Drosophila melanogaster: one gene and its partner. The gene in region 1 interacts genetically with each later gene. Each region holds a gene or a part of one and is shown on either strand. Other genes may lie near its edges.

The links. A genetic interaction does not mean that the proteins touch.
Region 2: of mod(mdg4) (region 1) and trx, changing one enhances a phenotype caused by changing the other (phenotypic enhancement), as found in Drosophila melanogaster (2 studies listed by BioGRID).

The regions. Positions count from the first base shown.
Region 1 is NT_033777.3:21,374,727-21,380,595, forward strand, and holds the start of mod(mdg4) (modifier of mdg4), read right to left. Parts: upstream 2,676-5,869; 5' UTR 2,562-2,675; intron 2,351-2,561; 5' UTR 2,307-2,350; coding exon 2,093-2,306; intron 2,016-2,092; coding exon 1,876-2,015; intron 1,187-1,875; coding exon 334-1,186; intron 1-333. Other genes in the region: tin (tinman), read left to right, coding at 4,521-4,705, 5,608-5,869. UniProt on the Drosophila melanogaster protein: Component of the gypsy chromatin insulator complex which is required for the function of the gypsy chromatin insulator and other endogenous chromatin insulators.
Region 2 is NT_033777.3:14,284,528-14,290,396, forward strand, and holds the start of trx (trithorax), read right to left. Parts: upstream 2,377-5,869; 5' UTR 1,682-2,376; intron 1-1,681. UniProt on the Drosophila melanogaster protein: Histone methyltransferase that methylates 'Lys-4' of histone H3 (H3K4me). H3K4me represents a specific tag for epigenetic transcriptional activation.

The sequences.
Region 1 (5,869 bases):
CGTCCAGCATTTAACAAATATGCATCGGACAGCAGATCTGCCTAGTGCTCTTTGTCGATTCGAAATAGAACACAGGCCCGTAAACTACTTATTAACTAATGGCCAGCGAAGTATAGCTTAAGTTTGTTCAAAACAAAATTAAACGCACTTTGCCGAACTCTAAAAGGACATGATCCGCTTGCGACGCTAATAGATTTGGAAAGTGTTCAAGTTTGGAATACATATGTGATCTTTTTTTTAACGTGTTTGCATTTCGCAAGCGGACTTAATGTCCTTTAAATATTGCTTATATCTATTGGCCTCTGGCCATGTATGCTTTGCAATTCAACCAACCTTGAGCCTCTGTGTTGCCCTGATCCCCGCTGGTGTCGACAAACGATGATTCACTGTAGTTCTGGGACTGTTGCTTGACCACAGCCTTGGAAGTGGTCGCCGTCACTCCGCCACCGCTCGTATTTGCCGCAGTCTGGTTGCCAGCATCCTCGTTTTCAGTGAAGTAGCTGTCGTCGTAGCGCATGTCTCCGTAAGTATCGTCCTCCACATAGGTGCCCTCGGCATCGCCGGCGGCGTCGCCATGGTCCTCAGAGTAGTCAGGTTCAGATTTCGTGGGCAATTCCATGGGGAGATCAATGTACTCGGCTTCCTCCTGTCGAACCTGCTGCGGCGATTGCTGGTGGAGCTTTGCTTCTGCCGCAGAGACCACAGAGGTTTGCACGGTGATCTGTTGCGGCACAAGTTGGGCGGTTGTCGTGGCTCCAGTTTCAGTGGTCGAGTCGAGAGGGTCCATAACATTTGCGGAGGTGCTTGTCTTGGAGCGCTTTACGCCGGCGCTCGAGGAGGCGGGGGTCAGGGAGGAGCGCTGGGCAGAGCGTTTGTTTGTCGACACCAGCGTCGCCGTCGTCGTGGTTCCCGTCTGCAGCTGCTGCGATTGGATCTGCTGCGCCGCCTGCTGCGGTTGCTGCTGTTGTACAATGGTGGCTTGGGGTGCGGCCGTGGTCTGGATGACGATCTGGGTGGTGCTCTGTTTCTCGTCGCCCAGGCCGTCGTCCACGGTCTCGATCTTGTAGCGGGCGGAGGCGCGAGGCTGCTGGCGCTGCACCCGCTGAGCCGGTATTTGCTGTTGTTGTACATGAGGTGCTGCTGGCGGCGGGCTGGATTCCTGCGGCGGCTGAGGCGCAGGATCGTTCTGAAAAAAAAATATTGGTTTTTTAATTATTAACATATATTTTAGGAATAAGTGAAAAGATATTTTGTATGTTCTAGCACCTCTTTAAAAATGAACCACGATCAAAACTTAATAAACTTTAAAAGTATCTGCATTTAATAAAATGGACGATTTCAAAACTATATGTTGAAAAGAATTATTCCGTTAGAATGGAATTTGCAAAGAAATAAGAAATCTGGCCATTAATTAGTAAAGTACGCCTTCCTTGAATTGGGAAACAATAATACATTTTCTAGTTCCGATGCCTGTTTCTTTAGGTACAGCTGCACTAAATTTAATTTTGCAAATACGTTAATTTTAGTCGAAAACATTAAGAGATATTTCCCAATTTAAACATTAGTTTAAAAGCAAAAAATGTTTATGCTTTGGCATCGAATTCGCTGCGAGACAAAAACAACCACTCCAATTTGCCGCTGCCGTGCGAGCCAGAGCGAGACAAACGCTTCGCGTATAGCCCCTGCAGTTGTCTCTCTCTGGCACGCGTGCCTTTTGGCATTTGGTTTGCGAGAAATTTCTCGGTACAGTCAAACCATGCTCTTATACAGACGCCAGCCATCGCGTCTGTATGTATTGGGCGCGAAAGGTTGCGTTGTAGTTGCTCGATTCGATATACCAGTATATCACGCACACAAATGTATACATATACTCACATCCGTTAGCCCCTTGATTTGCAGCGATTCCGCGGTGCTAATAAACGCGGGCAGGGCGTCCTGCTTCACGTTGACCTCGCCGCAGTACATGAATTGGATGAGGTCCTTCAGCGCCGAGTGGCTGACGTTGTTCAGGAATACTGCAAGATAGGCGAAGAGAGTATAAGGTAAAAAATCACGTAGAGCTACAGATCTGAGCTGAGGGGCACAAACTCACCGATAGCGTGGGTGTTCGACGGCATCTGAGTGAACATCTTGCGGAAGAAGGGCGAGCAGACGGATAACACCAATCGGTGGGCCTTCACTATTTGGCCCTCGGCGGCCAGCGAGACGTCCACCAGGTCGCCGCGGCATAGCGACTCGTGGAAGCCGGCCGACAAATTCGTGTTGAAGTTGTTCCAGCACAAGCTGAATTGCTCGTCGTCCGCCATCTTGGACGAAAATCAATACTTTTCTGTATCTATGCGTTTGTTGGCTGCAGGCGAAAAAGTGCAATGCGCGTTTAAAACTCAATGCAGCGAGTGCTGAAAAATGGCAAAGGCACACACAAAATAGAATGCACTGCAGCCAAAAAAAACTGGGAAATTTTCACGCGTCTGTCTGTGTGTGCGTGTGTGTAAATTACATTTATCTCGCTTAATGACCGCAACCTACTGTGTATATTCACTTGGGGCGCCATTACTCACCTCTTGACTAAATATTTTTCCAATAAAATAACTAACTAAAGCCAGAGTTTTTTGCTAGCGCGGCCGACACGCAGAACGCGTCCGAGTTCTTTGACGTGAAAATTAGAAGTGTTACCAGGCGACGAGATTGCTGGCGATGGCAAAACAAAAAGTGACAATATATCGATAGCTTAAAATATTTATATCGAAATACTTTTATGAATATTGATAGTTGATGTGCTTTGATATTTTTTTTTTAAATGTTAGTACGAAAATCACATAATTAAGTTCATAACTTTTTGAAAACTTTTACATACTTTAGTTTACATATGCTGTAGGATTTTAGTTTGCGGGTGTGTTAAAAAAGGTTGTAGGACTAAGAAAATATCGGCCTAAGTATACGATGTATTTATGTTATGACGAAATTTCTTATTTCACAACAGTTTTGTTGTCTAGCTTAATGTTTAATTTATTTTAAATGAAATAAAACAAAATACAAATTAACGAGTTTAAAGACTAGCAGTCAAACTAGCACAACTAGAATAAAATTCATAAGATAAACAGAAAAATTTTAACTTTTTTAAATTCTCCTATTTTTTAAACTGGGCCTTCGATTTTTTACGAATGGAGGATTATTTTCTAGCGGAATTCATTATAACTCTGACAAACTCTTATGGAGCGCATCGTCACTACGTAAACCCTACACTCTGAATGCACAAGGGCACTATATTTTTAAAAAAAAAGTGACTTAATAGGATTATAAGAAAGGCAAATATTCGCTAAAAGTTCTTAAACATACCAAACAAAATATGTATGTACATAATATGTATATCTGTGTACTGTATGTACATATGCACTACATATGCAATTATATACATATGTGAACACGTTTTTGGTGCAATGCCAAGATTCGAAATGAAGGTATTCATCCCATAAAGGCGAAATATTATTAAAAATGTTGCTCTATTTAGACAACTTCACATATCCATGTTATTCATCTCTATTAAATCATAACAGTTTCAAGTGAAATAAACAATAATATATGAGAGCGTAACGTTTAAACCAAACATATTCCCCACGATTTATTTATTTGTTAGCTTAGTACACTCTTAAAATCAAGTGTGCGAAAATCTGCACTTGAGCGCCACTTGACAACCGTTTAATACACAAGACGCGCGGACAAACGTAAATACATGGGGACTATAAAACTTAAGGACTTTACGATAATAAATACGGATACTTAAGCTCAAGTAGCGAAACAAAATCAGCATAAAGTGGCTGCGAACAAACAACTAATAACAACGGGGAGCAGCTGGAGGAGTCGGTTATTGAATCTGATAGTCAGGTACAATGTGTGCGATTGTGCAAAGATACTTTCATACATGCATACAAGCATACATGTTTGGAATTAGTGATGGACAGAACTTAAAATATATTGTCAATACCATATATATTCTTAAGCTATTAGATTAAATTTACAAATGTAATACATAAATTAGTTTTTTATATTTGGATACATATTTTATAAATCTCCTAAGCATATGACAGCCTCGCACATCTCTAGCGCAGAAGAGCGAGATGCCGCACTCGCATTCCGATGCTGTGCTGTGATTGGCTCCGGGGCGGCCATTTTGCCCGTATGCTCAGTTCGCTCACACACATCCAAAAACACAGTGGCATGAGGCGGTCTGGGGTGAAAGGAGTACGCGTTCAGTACCAAAATCGAGCTGACAAATTGCAGACACGGTCGAGTGCGCATCGGAACGGCGCTTTACGGCTTACGGGTTACGGACTACTGATTGCCGATTACGGGCTACGACTCACTTACGGTTGCGCTAACGGTTGCGTGGAGTGTTTGCTCGATTACTGGACTACCGAGATTCCAATTCAAGTGTCGCAAGTTCAAGTGCGATTTGGCAAATTGTTGGACTTATTTAAATCGAAGTGCTTCTCAAGTGGCCAAGTGATCGCACAGCGAGGATGTTGCAGCACCATCAGCAGCAGGCTCAATCGGGTGGCTACTACGATCACTACACTCAGTCCCCCAGTCCGGGCAGCCTGACGAACGCGGATGCCCTGAACACCACTCCATTTTCGGTCAAGGATATCCTGAACATGGTCAACCAAACGGAGGCCTACGAAGGTTCCTACGGGCATATCGATGGGTAAGCTTGGAAGTTTTGAATCAATTATACATTAAGGGTCAAAAGCAACTAAAAATTGGGGTACACCAATAGACTAGTTCCAAGGTACTGTGTTCTACATGTTACCAAAATCTACTAAATCGAATCAGTGTACATATATGATATAAAACTAATTATTATACCGGTTAACTATCTAAATTGCAATGATTTAAGAAGGTATCTGTGCAGTTCAGAGAGAGACCAACTGTTAGTTGAGCCATTTTTAGCTATCAACTGGCATACATGGACATTTCCACCACTTCTACCTGTCAGTGACTTCTTCTCGAAGACAGCGCCCTTCCCCGTCCCGATCGCTTTTATTTATTTTTATTTAATAGGGCTCCATAGGAAAATTAATTTCTACCAATTTTCCAAAGAAAGATAATATTTTGATAACCTTCCGCCGAGACGTAGCAGAAGAAATCCTATGAAAACACATAGAAAGCATGAATTGCAAATAGGATCTGGGATCGGAGAGCGTCAAGCGTTGAGCGTTGAGCTCGAGGCTTTGACAAATCATCGTTATTTGTACAAGAGGCCGAAGACAAAGACGAGGAGAGACAGTGTTAACAATAAGAACAACAATGTCCGAGGCAGGCAGTCGGGAGTCACGGCGATCGCTGGTCCGCCCGATCCCTTCTGGGCTGGTCAACATGTGTGATTCGCATGTGTGGACCGCCGCACAGGGGCGTCCTTAATTGCCTGATGAGCCATGAAATGATGTCACCATGGATCCTGTCGCGCCAGCAGGAAGTGGGCAAAAAGTCCTCGTCCCAGCTCCCCGGGCTGTGTCCTCCGTGATGCAACATATGGCGGCCATATACGAGACTTTGTATTGCCTTGTTTCTAACCTTGCGCTTTTCCATTTTCCTGCTTTCCCGCAGCGCGGCGACTGCCTCGGCGCTCTTCGCCGCCGGTGAGTACCAGAATCCCCACCAGTACCTCAACCACCAGCAGCATCAGCAATCCGAGCTGCCGATTCCGCAGCAGCAACTGCATCACCAACACTTGGACGATGGCGCCACCACATCGTCGTCCCTATCGCCACTCTTGCCACCCCCGCCGCACCAGCTGTACGGCGGATACCAGGACTACGGTATGCCCGCCCACATGTTCCAGCACCATCACGGACATCCCCACCAGAGT
Region 2 (5,869 bases), 7.1 Mb from region 1:
TAGCAACAATGCAAACTAATAATTCGGCCACCGAAGCAAATAGAAATCACACCTACAGTGATCGCTCGCTAAGCGAAGCATTGTAGTGCTCATGTTTTAGAAAATAGATTATCTTGGAGAAGAAGAACAAATAAACAAATGACTTTTTTCGATTTTACAATAGGAATTATGTAAACAAGGATATTTTAATTTAAACCCGTTGAAAATGTCCCATCAAATGATCTTAAAATTTGTATTTGTGAGTAGACCCATCCGAATTCAAATGTGCAATGATTCTGTGAGGCGTGATCGACGAGATGCGGACGCAGTGGAGCGTGAAAATGCATTCGGATGAGCATCGGTTGGCCCGCATCGCATATTCATTCCCATTCAAGATCTCGCATTAGCTTACGGCTCAGTTGGTCGACTTTTGAAAGGCGAATTTTAATATGCGCAATTACTCATTTGGCGATTTTGCGCCTCAATGTTGTTTGGCGCGTAGTTTCCCACACACAAACACACAGGCATCGACACTAGCCGATTTGGAATTTGCCTTTTTGATGGCAAATAAAAAAATGGCGTCAACAAATACTCAAACAGCCAATGTACAAGTACATATATTTATTTTGTAATTATTCAACAGCTTCTAGGCAGCGAACGGCAGCGGCAATCGATTTAGCTCCTGCTGCTGCTGAGATCGTTTTTCATTTTATTGTATAATTTATTAAAAGTTTCAACAGCGCCAGCAACAAAACAAACAGCAATTTTAGTTATACAAACACTTTGGCCATGTGAGCCCAATAGAGAGAGAGAGAGAGAGAGAAAGAGACGGTGAGAGCGAGAGAGTGATTTGATTTAGAATGAGGCGACAACAAAAGCAATTAACTGGTCACACATTAAGTTTTATTTATCGGCGATGCTTTATTATAGCTCGCCGCTGTGTGTGTGGGTGTGTTAGCGACTGTCATTTACCGTTCGTTTTACGGGTGGTAAATAATGGAAAACGTCGTAGATGGAAACTTGCAGTAAAATCCCCCTGGCTAACAGAAAACGAATAATATTGTTTCTTATAAGAATGAAATATTTGATGGATTAACTTCAGGAGTCATATGATTATATGATAATAGATGTACTTATTTTAAGCAAAAAATATTTCGCCTCCTCTTTAAACTGTTAGTATTAGATTAAAATAAAAATATTAACTAATGAATTCGTTGTTAAGAAAGTTGTTATTAAATCAACAGGTTTTCCAGAAACAAGACTTGCTTACTAGTACTACAAAATAGAACAAAACTAAATCAAAAATGCTACCATCTGCTGCTAGTCGCACTCAACGAGGTCCCACTGTAGACATAAATCGCAGCGTGGGCCATAAACTAACAGTATTTGTTGTGCAGCCTAATTTGCATTATCGAGTGAATAATTGAACGACACTTTCCTATTCTTTCTAGCTAAAAACAACAATCTAAACTACTGACTAGAGGTCTACAAAGGTTAGTGGGGACTTTATGAATATGAAATCGACGGGATGGGATATGATAATGTGATGTGGTGTGCAATGGTGTACAGTATCTCCGGGTGCATTCCAAATCAATATCTGGCATGCTTATATATGTGCGCAAATATCCATTGATATATATTCACGGCAGACTGACTCATCGGCAGCCGGCGACGCCTTTTATCGCGGCGATCTTATAATTACCTTGCTGTCGAGCGTGTATCCAGATGCAGATTGAGATTCGATACCGTTTCAGGGGTTGTTGTTACCATTTGGCATCCTTGGTGCACGAATATAATACGAAAACGAAAATAATCCACACTTGGGACAATTTCACAACAAAACGGGACAGAAACACACGCACTCAAAACACTAGTAAACACAAAATACAGGGGTGGAGATTGCGATTTTCGTTTTTATTTTCGTTCACTTATTTCTTGGTTTTTGCTTTGGCTCTCACATTCGCCGCTCTCTCACTCTGTCGCTCTGCGCTCACAAAACAAACGCACAGGTACACGCACACACGAACCGAAATGGCCCGCTCTCTTGCTATTTCGTTCTCTCTCTCGCGCCCGCGCGTTTCGTATATACATATGTTGCTACGTATGCGCGTGTGTGTGTGTGCGGGTGTCTGTATGTATGGGTTTTACGACGATGAAAAATGCCTGCTTCTTCTTCACAGAAATCAGGTTTTCTGCTCTCGATTTTCACACTTTTTTAACAATTGAACGCCACAAATTCGATGTAATTTCATTGGCAGACACTGCATACCATATTCACACACACTATTTAGCACAGTTTATCAATTATTTTCCACATTTTCTGCGTTTTTTCGACGAGCGAAATGGAAATAGCAAAGCAAAACGACCGGACAGTGTGACCGCGCCGATAACTATAAAAAATACTGTGAGACTTACAAATAAATTCATGTGTGTGCAGACCTGGTCACACCGATATTTTAGTAGGGTGTCTCTGCTCTGCGGGGTGTGTGTCTTGGTTAAATACGGAATGTGTCTCTGCTAGTTCAAAGACAAAAGCGTATTGCTACAAAACAGTATTTTTCAAAATTTAAAACCACTTTCGGTGTAACTGCTAATTTGTTTAATTTGTGGTAATTAAAATGTTTAGAATGGAGTGTACAAAACACATTAACCTTGAATTTTTGAATATCCAATATTATCACACTTTCCGTTCAATATAATTTTTAAGTACCCTTCGGTATCTTATTGGGAAAGAAGGAAAGAAAAGAAACCGCTTCGGTAAACAATTTAAAAAACAGGAGATTTTCCTAGTCCACATTCTAAGTGGCAAATATCAATCACCTCATTGGCAATTCCATTATGCCAGTATATGAAGTTCGGATTAGTTGCGATTTCATAATGAAGCCATAATGTGCGGACACACATAAACAACTTGTCAGCTGCGTCCACTTCGCATTTGGTTCTTTGCCAAAGTTATTAACCAATTTTTTGGGAAGACACCCAAAGGCTTTATGCATTCGCAAGGCGCGATGTAAACAAATAGATTTTGGTCAACGAATCGAACGTGTCCGCTCAATTAGCACATATTTGATTCACAATGTAAATCCAACTGTTGCCGGGCGAGAAGCGTAGGGCGGTAATTCGGTGGCTTAAATCGACGTCATTTCGACGACGTTTCACCGAAGTGAACAAAAAATTCGCAGGAAATTGAATCACTGAGCGCCTGTAAATTTCTTGTTCAGTGACAAAAAATGGTAACCCACATTCAGAAGATGTTATCTCACAAAAAGGCATTGCAATTAACCTTATTAGTATAGAAAGTTCACCAAGAAGGACGTGTTAATAGTTGTGGCCTGAATTTAGTAATTACTTATGTAAATAAAAATAATAAATAACTAAATATTATCAAAATAATATAATAAAATAAAAAAAGTAATAATAATGAAACTATAATCATAACAACCATTATTGCTAGTAAATGAAATAATTCAAATGAATGCTAATAATAGGTACTAAATCAATTTCCCTGGCATTCCTTCTATTAAACACGAAAACATAAACAAATTGATCAACTCCTTGTAACTTGGACTATCAGCTATTGGCAACACGGGCAGATCGAGCTTTGTTTTTGGCAGCTGACGCATTCCGCACCTCATGGTTAGTCGGTCCGTTTAGGTGCGCAGTGATAAGGGGTATCGATAACAATATATGTATATCTAACATGGATTACCTTGTACTGTGACAGTCATTCGGCGCTTATCTGGGCCGCAAACAACACGAATTCGTTGGCCTAATCATAATGAAAGTCTTGTTTTGACAGCAGCAGCAGAAGCAGCGGGCGTATAGCCACTATCACCGGATTTCCAAAAATAGTTCTTCAACTTTTACCGCAATCTGCAATGCAAACGATGACGTCCGCGTTGGTTGGAAAATTTCCAGCTCATCGCTGAAAAAGGGATTCCTCCACAGATCGTGGGCTTATCATGCATGCTAATTAATCCTATGACGAACTCGGGAAAAAAAAAACAATAAAACCTAATAGAAAACGCGAGGAGCTTGATAATCATTGTACTTGTGCACCTGTCGCCGTCATCCAGTTATCATTTAATAATCAAGATGAGTGCCAGAAAAACAGAGAGAGCTGCTTAAATGATTATCACAAGTTTGCGGGTACATACTTACATACATACGATTATTTGCGTACAGTGTGTGCCATCTATATAATATTTTAGTTTAGATTATTAAATGCAAGCTATTGTCATGAAATCTAATAAACTTAATTTAATCAATTTAATCTAATAAAATCAACATCCAGTTAAAACATGGTTTTTGTAAGGGACACCACTGCGTATGAGTGATCTGAAGTGGGAAAGTAAATTAAGTAAAGTAAAACTCGGATGGTTCATCACACCATGCAACCACTGTGCCTGTAATATTCTCTTTCCCTGCTGGCTAGTCCAACGTGTTTGCTATCACCATTATCACTCGAATTAGGCACAATCATCTAACGAATTCGTATGGCCCCTATGGTGAGTACTTGGAAAAGTAATTCCAGGTTGGAGAAGTGAGCAGTGGAAGCAGTGGAGGCAGTAAACCAACATCCACGAATCGAATGAGTATTTGTGTGCACTTCCAGTGCGCGATAATGCCATTCTTCAATTCCAGCCGAAGAAACCGAAAGCCGAGAGCCCAGCTGAACGCCCAAAGAGAGTCTTCTGGAAGAGAGTCTACCTCGCCGGCGGCGGAGAATCGTCGCTCGTCGCTTGTTCGCCAGTCATTTCAGCAGTCACTTGTTTTTGAGTGCTGCTTGGAGTTGGTCGCTCGCCTGCTGCGCTCTTAGTTGTTTTGGCTAAGTTCACTTAGTTAGTGCCTTCGTTTAGCGGCGAAAAAGCTGGAAAAAAACGTATAAAATATATCGCGTTGTCGTCGCCGTCGTCGTCGTTGCCGCTTTTGTATCTGTGTTTGTGAGTGCCGAAAAGATGAATATATAGAAATACACACAAATAAACAAAAATATTATAAAAAGAAGAGTTGCTATTAAGTGAAATATATGCACAACAATTACTTAAGTTAGAGAACGGTTACTGTCGTTGCCATGGGACAAACGTAAAGCCTCGATTGTGTGTATTTACACACTCGGTGATCTGCGCTGCTCCTCTCACTCATTTGTATTGTTTCAAAACAAAAAAACAAGGCGATGGAAAACTAGAGAAACCATAAACAAAAGCTGCTCGTTGTTGTCCCACAGAAGCAGCAACAATCAAATTAATAACTTAAGTAACAGCATCAACACGAACGACGGCAGTTGGAATTATAACAAGAAAAATCCTACAAGTTAATGGATATTTTTTTCCTCTAGATAAAAAGTAACACAAAAAGTCAACTGGCAAAATATCACGAATGGCGGTACATACAAATTTCAATTTGTCGCAGCCGGAAAACAAATTCACATACAGTTCAAACTCCATAACTCGGAATTCCCAAAGACCTTCACTCTATGTCACTTTTTTGAGCTTTATTATGTTCATAAGAAGTCGGTACAAGTCATTTTAAGATATATTTTAATAAAATTTGAAACGAATATTATGAATTAGGGCCAATTAAAAGGGTAGTGTTTATTCTTAACGGAACTTGAAAAAAGACTTTTAATAGCATATTTGTTTGCACCAACTTTTTCTATAATTTTGCTGAAATTTAACTTCCTTTTCTACCGCATTATTGATTATTATATAATGTGACAATATATAAACATGTAGTAACAAGTTCGACTTACTGTGGCTCGACTGTACCCACTCGCTCACACACGTCACCGGCACACTCCCACTCACGCACACACCCACAAAGTGACGCCCACGAGGTCTGGAGATTTGCACAAGTGCAGAGGCACACACAGACAAACAGATAGAAGAAA